2 linked regions of the Oryctolagus cuniculus genome follow. The protein of the gene in region 2 interacts with the protein of the main gene of each other region in a biochemical or structural test. Links are inferred from orthologs where the notes say so. Each region holds a gene or a part of one and is shown on either strand. Other genes may lie near its edges.

The links.
Region 1: of the proteins of CARD9 (region 2) and TRIM62, one has a biochemical effect on the other in vitro, tested with the Homo sapiens proteins (4 studies listed by BioGRID, with this or other methods). The link is inferred for Oryctolagus cuniculus from reciprocal best matches to the Homo sapiens genes CARD9 and TRIM62.

What each region holds. Positions count from the first base shown.
Region 1 is NC_091438.1:139,416,703-139,420,846, reverse strand, and holds the start of TRIM62 (E3 ubiquitin-protein ligase TRIM62), read right to left. Parts: upstream 2,922-4,144; 5' UTR 2,351-2,921; coding exon 1,943-2,350; intron 1-1,942. UniProt on the Homo sapiens protein: E3 ubiquitin ligase that plays a role in antifungal immunity by mediating 'Lys-27'-linked ubiquitination of CARD9 downstream of C-type lectin receptors; leading to CARD9 activation, followed by activation of NF-kappa-B and MAP kinase p38 pathways.
Region 2 is NC_091432.1:236,667,397-236,670,320, forward strand, and holds part of CARD9 (caspase recruitment domain-containing protein 9), read left to right. Parts: intron 1-1,469; coding exon 1,470-1,649; intron 1,650-1,755; coding exon 1,756-1,899; coding exon of another isoform or gene 1,900-1,964; coding exon 1,965-2,090; intron 2,091-2,924. UniProt on the Homo sapiens protein: Adapter protein that plays a key role in innate immune response against fungi by forming signaling complexes downstream of C-type lectin receptors.

The DNA of each region.
Region 1 (4,144 bases), on a different chromosome or scaffold from region 2:
TCCCATGTGGCCTCCATCCTCAGGCAGCTGACCTGAAGTCATGTTTTTGGGAGGAGAGAGACAGGGAGGTGGCGATGCTGAACACTGGCCATTTCTCCCGGGTCGATGGTCATCCTCATGGCACCTGCTAGGTACAGGCCACCTACCAAGATTTGCATGGGTCAGGGTTGGGACCCCTGGGAACAGAGAGGAAGGGCAGGTGTTGTGGTGCAGTGGGTTAAGCTGCTGCTTGTGGTATGGGCATCCCATATCCAAGTGCCAGTGCCTCGCTTCCGATCCAGCTCCCTGCTGCTTGTACCTGGGAAGGCAGCAGAAGATGGCCCAAGTACTTGGGTCCCTGCTACCCATGTAGGAAACCCAAAAAGAGTGCCTAGATCCTGGCTTCAGCCTGGCACAGCCCTTGATGCTGCAGCGATTTAGTGAGTGAACCAATAAATGGAAAACATCTCTCTCTCTTTCTCTCCCTATTGCTATGCCTTTCAAATAAATAAAACTTTTTTTTTTCAAAAATGAATGCTTTAAAAAAAGAACACAAGGGAAAATAGGTACTTAGCTCCTGCTTGAGAGCTCACTACCTCCTGGGTGAGCCCAGTCCATTTGCATAAAATGTTTCAGCCAAAAACCTGCTGCTTCCAAACTCTCCACGATCTGGGCCAGCTTAGAACAGAGTTGGTCATTCATTCACTCTTTCTTTCATTCACCTGTACTGGCGTGTCCTGGGGGCCAGGTCTTGCACCAGGCTCGGGGGCCACAGCCCTGCCCTTGGGAAATTGTGTGCTAGAATGGTATTGCAAAGCCAGGTGCATGGGGCTGCGGATTTAAATGGTGTGGATTAAGAAAAGGATTCCAGGTTCAAGCAGGCTTGGAAACCATTTGATCAAACACAGTTAAATAGGCTCATTTGCTACAAGATTTCCCCAAGCCTTTAATAGGCAAATGCTCACAGAGAATCCTCAGGATGTAGGTGTGTGATAATAGAAAGTATACTATGCTTCCCAAATATAGCCTGTCTTGGAACACATCTTTTTTAAAACATCATACTTGTTCATAGAGAGTATTTGAGGAAATCTTTCTCCAGCGCTAGGTTTTTGGCTGGTGGTGCTGGGGGAAGGCTTCATGGGGCGGGGGACACTGTGTAGGGTTTGGGGAGCTGAATGGCTCATCAGCAAGGTTTAAGGAAGATCAGTTACAGTTCTCCTCTGCTTGCCAAAACACCTGATGGCAATGATGAGCGAAGGGAGCCATCAAAAGCCCCGGAGGCCATCTCCCCTCCCTCAACTCCAGGCACCTCCGCTCTGGGTCTCCTTCTCCAAGTCTTTCATCTTCAAGCCTCAACCTGGCCCCTTCCTCTGGTTTACATCCAATACGGTTCTTACAGGTGTCCGACCTTGACTGTGCAGCCTTACAGAGCCGGGCCTCACCTAGGCACCCAAACGCCCCACTCTGACCCCTCTCAGGTTTACCCGCATCCCCCCCGCCCTCCCCCGGCCCAGAACAACGGAGCCCGGGTACTGATGCAGCCATACCTGATTCAGGTGCTGCCCTAGAGGCGCTCCTCCCAACCCGGCCCCCTCAGCTCCTCGCGGCGGCCCCGACCCCTGACAGCCGCCCCGCCTTCGCCTGGCCTTCCTCGGGCTTGGCCCCCTGGCTGCCCCAAGCCGGGCACTTGCTCAGCTCTGCTGTCCCGTGACTGCGCCGCCTCACCCCACCCTCGCCCTCTCCCCCACCCCGGGCCCGCCCCTACTCCAGGTCAATCTCAGATCCAACCTGGCAGAGACAGCCCGAGGCCCCGCCCCCGAGGCCCCGCCCCTTGCCGCTGCCCCACCCCGGATTAATCCTGATAGGCCCCGACCTCGCCGGCGGCCCCGCCCCGAGACACCTCCGAAGGGGCCGTGCCCGCGGGCCGGCCCCGCCCCCGCCCCGGGCCGGCCGGGCAGCGCACCTGCAGCTCCTCGAAGGCGTCGTCGATGCCGGTGACCTGGTGCTGCTCGTGCAGCGCGGGCTCGTCGCAGAAGAAGCAGAGCAGCGCGCGGTCCGTGAGGCAGAAGAGCTTGACCTTGTCGTGCGCCTGGCAAGGCCGCGCTGCGCGGCGCGCGTTGAGGATGGCGTCCAGCGGGAAGGCGCTGTAGCGCTCCACGATGTTGGCCAGCTTGAGGCTGGGCGCCAGTGCGGGCTCGGCGAAGGTGCGCCGACACTCGGGGCAGTCGCGGGCGCCCTGCGCCTCCTGCCGCACCCAGTGCTCGGTGATGCAGCGGCGGCAGAAGTAGTGCTCGCAGCCCAGGCTCACCGGGTCCTGGTAGATGCTCAGGCAGATGGAGCACAGCAGCTCGTCCTTGAGGCTGCACGCCATGGCGCCGGGGGCGGCGGGGGCGCGCGGGCGAGCGCGGCGCGGCCGGGGCTGCCCAGGGAGGGGCGAGGGGACCAGGATCGCGGAGGAGGGGGTGCCGTCCGGGAGGGGCGGCGCGGGAAGGGTTAAGGGTAGAGACCGCCTGGGATGAGCGCCCGGGGTGGGGGGCGGTCCGAGGTGATGGGTGGCCCCGAGAGCCAGGAGCAGCAGGAGGGGGGTACCTGGCGAGCGAGTTATGTGGGGAACGGGCAGTCCTAAGGGAGGAGTGCTGGGAGCAGGGGACTCGGGAGTGGGGGCGGAGGCCTGGGGGGGCTGAAATCCGGGGATGGGGGCAGTGGGGGGAGGGGGAGAGGCTGGGAATGGGGAGTCCAGGGGGAGGGGGCAGCCAGGCTGAGGAGCACAGCGGCTGTGCTCTGCAGGAGAGAGGAGAGGCGCCGGCCTGCTCCACTGCCCGAGCCCCGGCCCGGCGCGGTCCCTTACCCCGCCGGCTCAGCAGCCACCGCTTCGGTCCAGCGCAGCCTCTCAACCCGGAACCAGCCGAGCCCGAGCTGCCGGCGGCCGCGACTCCCTCCCCGCCCCCGTGGGCGGGACCCGAGCGACTCCGCCCCCGAGGCGGGCGGGGGGAGGGGTGGGGCGGCCCGCCCCCCACCCCCCCACGCGGCTGCTCCTGGAAGCGCCAGCCCAGCTGTTCTGTAGGGTCTGCACAGGGAGGGCGTCTAGGTCTCTCCTGGAGTCCTTTCCAGGGGCTGGGGTGGGGGAGGAGGAAACAGGTAATTGCAGAGGGCAAGGAATAAACAAGGAGCGTCTTTCCGGATCATCAGTTTGAAGAGTTGGGAAAAAAAATCAGGTTTTATATTGAAACAAACAAGGATATGTTATGTACTCCGCACAGCGCGCAATTTTTGCCTGAAATAAAAAGGTGAATCTTGAGAGATACCCTCAGCAGCAAGTTCAAGGCCCTCACACTCCAAAGCGTATCTGGGGGAGAAGTTCAGAAAGCCCCGGCTAATGTCCATCCCGTTGGGCAAACATTTCTGCATGTGTGTAAGGGGGAGGGGGTGGCTCAGGAGCAGAAAGCATAACAGGAGCCCACGTCTGGTGTGCCAGATGGAGGGGATAGGGGATTACCAACGGGCGAGGCGCGAAAGGGGAGAACTTAGGGCGGTGGGGTGGGGAAGGGCCTTGGGGGCGTGGGCAGCCTTGAGAGTGGCACTGGGCTCTCTGCAGGGAAACGACCTGGCCAGATCTGGGTTTCAGGAGGTGCTCACCGTGGCGTCGCAAGGTGAAGGCAGGGACCAGGGCCTTGCTCTGATGGGTGTGTGCAAAGAGCTCAGGACACCACAAAGGTGCACAGCTGAGTAGCAGCAGCAGTGGCAGCGGCTGCGAGGGTTGGGGGGGAGGGAACAACACCGGGCCCCAGGGAGGTTGCGGTTGCCATAGTGCTTGTGGGAGGTGAGACCTGAGACCTCCAGCAGTGGGTAAGGAGAGAGGACGGGGCCATTGTGACTGCATTTGGAGGTGCGGGAGAGGAGGGAGTCAGCCCCCCCCTTCCGCCTCCTTTAGCAACGTCTTCCCTGGACTGAACTTGACTGAGGCATGGCTGAAGAAGCCGCTCTTAGTTCCCTGCTGCCTGCCAGCCCTTCATCACACAGTCCCCTGGCCCAGTGTCCCCAGCCTCGCTGGAAACAGGCTGTGGGCTCGAGCAGCAGGCACTGCTCCTCCTGGCCGTCGGAGCCTGCTTCTGTGCAGATGGATCCCACGGCGTACGCTGACACGCACCCCTGTTTCCTTCCTTCC
Region 2 (2,924 bases):
TGCCCGGCCTGGGGTGGGCCTGGGACCCCACTGCCCGGCCTGGGGTGGGCCTGGAACCCCACTGCCCGGCCTGGGGTGGGCCTGGGACCCCACTGCGCGGCCTGGGGTGGGCCTGGGGGGCAGGGGTCAGGAGCCGGGCCTGGGACCCCACTGCCCGGCCTGGGGTGGGCCTGGGACCCCATTGTCCAGCCTGGGGTGGGCCTGGGACCCCACTGCCCCGCCTGGGGTGGGCCTGGGGGGCAGGGGCCAGGAGCCGGGCCTCGGACCCCACTGCCCCGCCTGGGGTGGGCCTGGAGGCAGGGGCCAGGAGCCGGGCCTGGGACCCCACTTCCCGGCCTGGGGTGGGCCTGGAGGCAGGGGCCAGGAGCCGGGCCTGGGACCCCACTGCCTGGCCTGGGGTGGGCCTGGGGGGCAGGGGCCAGGAGCCGGGCCTGGGACCCCACTGCCCGGCCTGGGGTGGGCCTGGAGGCAGGGGCCAGGAGCCGGGCCTGGGACCCCACTGCCTGGCCTGGGGTGGGCCTGGGACCCCATTGTCCAGCCTGGGGTGGGCCTGGGACCCCACTGCCCGGCCTGGGGTGGGCCTGGGGGGCAGGGGCCAGGAGCCGGGCCTGGGACCCCACTGCCCGGCCTGGGGTGGGCCTGGAGGCAGGGGCCAGGAGCCGGGCCTGGGACCCCACTGCCTGGCCTGGGGTGGGCCTGGGACCCCACTGTCCAGCCTGGGGTGGGCCTGGGACCAAATTGCCCGGCCTGGGGTGGGCCTTGGGGGCAGGGGCCAGGAGCCGGGCCTGGGACCCCACTGCCTGGCCTGGGGGTGGGGGCTGCAGGCCTGGGACCCCACTGCCTGGCGTGGGGGTGGGGGCTGCAGGCCTGGGACCCCACTGCCTGGCCTGGGGTGGGCCTGGGGGGCAGGGGTCAGGAGCCGGGCCTGGAACCCCACTGCCTGGCCTGGGGGTGGGGGCTGCAGGCCTGGGACCCCACTGCCTGGCGTGGGGGTGGGGGCTGCAGGCCTAGGACCCCGCTGCCCGGCCTGGGGTGGGCCTGGTGGGCAGGGGTCGAGGGCCACAGGCTGGGTGCCCCACTGCCCGGCTTGGGGTGGGCCTTGGGGGCAGGGGCCAGGAGCCGGGCCTGGGACCCCACTGCCTGGCCTGGGGGGTGGGGGCTGCAGGCCTGGGACCCCACTGCCTGGCCTGGGTGGACTTGGGGGGACAGGGGCTATGAACCAGGCATGGGACCCCGTTGCCCAGTCTGGGGGGTGGGGAATGCAGGCCTAGGACCCCGCTGCCCGGCCTGGGGTGGGCCTGGTGGGCAGGGGTCGAGGGCCACAGGCTGGTTGCCCCACTGCCTGGCTTGGGGGACGGCGGGGGCCGCAAGCCATGCTGGGGACCCTTCTGCCCGGCCCGGGGGTGGGGAACGCAGGCCTGGGGCCCGGCTGCTGGCCCGGGGGCGGGCTGACCGGCAGCCGCGTGCAGGTGGACGGGCTCCGGCACAGCCTCCTGCGGGCGGAGGAGGACTGCACGGTGGAGCGCAAGCACACGCTGCGGCTGCGGCGCGCCATGGAGCAGCGGCCGAGCCAGGAGCTGCTGTGGGAGCTGCAGCAGCAGAAGGCCCAGCTGGAGGCGCGCGTGCAGGACCTGGAGGCCGCGGCGCAGGTGGGGGCGCCGGGCGCCGGGCGGGCGGGGGCGGGTGGGCGCCGGGCGCCGGGCGGGCGGGGGCGGGCGGGGGCGGAGCCGCGCGGGACGGCCGCTCTGTGTCCAGCAGGGGACGCGGGAGCGGAGCAGCCCCTACGTCCAGGTGCTGGAGGAGGAGTGGCGGCAGGTGCTGCGTGACCACCAGGAGCAGGCCGGCACCGTCTTCTCCCTGCGCAAGGAGCTGCGCCAGGCCGAGGCCCTCCGCGCCCGGGTAGGAGGCGGGGCCCTGGGGGCCGGGCGCCCTCCCCGCGGGGCGCTGAGCGGCCGTCCCCACAGTGCGCGGAGGAGAAGGAGGTGTTGGACCTGCAGTGCCAGGCCCTGCGCAAGGACGCCCGGCTCTACAAGGAGCGCATGGAGGCCGTGCTGCAGCAGATGGAGGAGGTGGCCCTGGAGCGGGACCAGGTGTGTGGGGGCCCAGTGCCCTCCCCGCTCTCGGGGTCTCCCTCGGTGCGCCCCTCGGCCACGATGCACCCTCAGGGAGCTGCTCTAACACAGAAACCAGCACCTGGGGGGGGGGCCCTGGGGGCGGAGGAGGACTTGCACACACACACACACACACACAAAGAAGAAGAGCGGCCGGGACTCGGAGGCAGGCAGCGGCAGGGCTGGTAGGCGGGACCTCTGGCTGCCTCTGGGTGGCCCAATAGGGACAAAAATGGATCAAGTCCCGGCCGCGGGGGCGCTGATGGGCCCAGACTCTGCCCTGCCCCTGCCCGTGGCCCTGTTCCCTCTGTGTGTCGGTGTCCCACGGCTGGCCGGCCCCCAGTGGGGACAGGCGGGCGTCTCACACAGCACAGACCATCATGCTCCTTGTTTTTGAGATTTTATCTCTTTGAGAGGTAGAGAGAGAGAGAGAGGTAGAGAGGTCTTCCATCTGCTGGTTCACTGCCCAGATGGCCGCAATGGCCAGAGCTGCATTGATCCGAAGCCAGGAGCCTCCTCCAGGTCTCCCACGCGGGTGCAGGGCCCAAGGCCTTGGTCCATCCTCCACTGCTTTCCCAGGCCACATCACAGAGCTGGATCGCAAGTGGAGCAGCCGGGACAAGAACCGGCGCCCATGTGGGATGCCGCCCTGCAGGCTTTAACCGCTGCGCCACAGTGCCAGTTCTTAAGCTTTGCTTATTTGCGGGCAGTGGCAGCTCTTCCATCTGGTTCGCCCCCACTGCCTGCAACACCCGGGGCTGGGCCAGGCTGAGGCCAGCCCCAGGGGCTCCGTCCGGGTCTCCCCCACAGCGG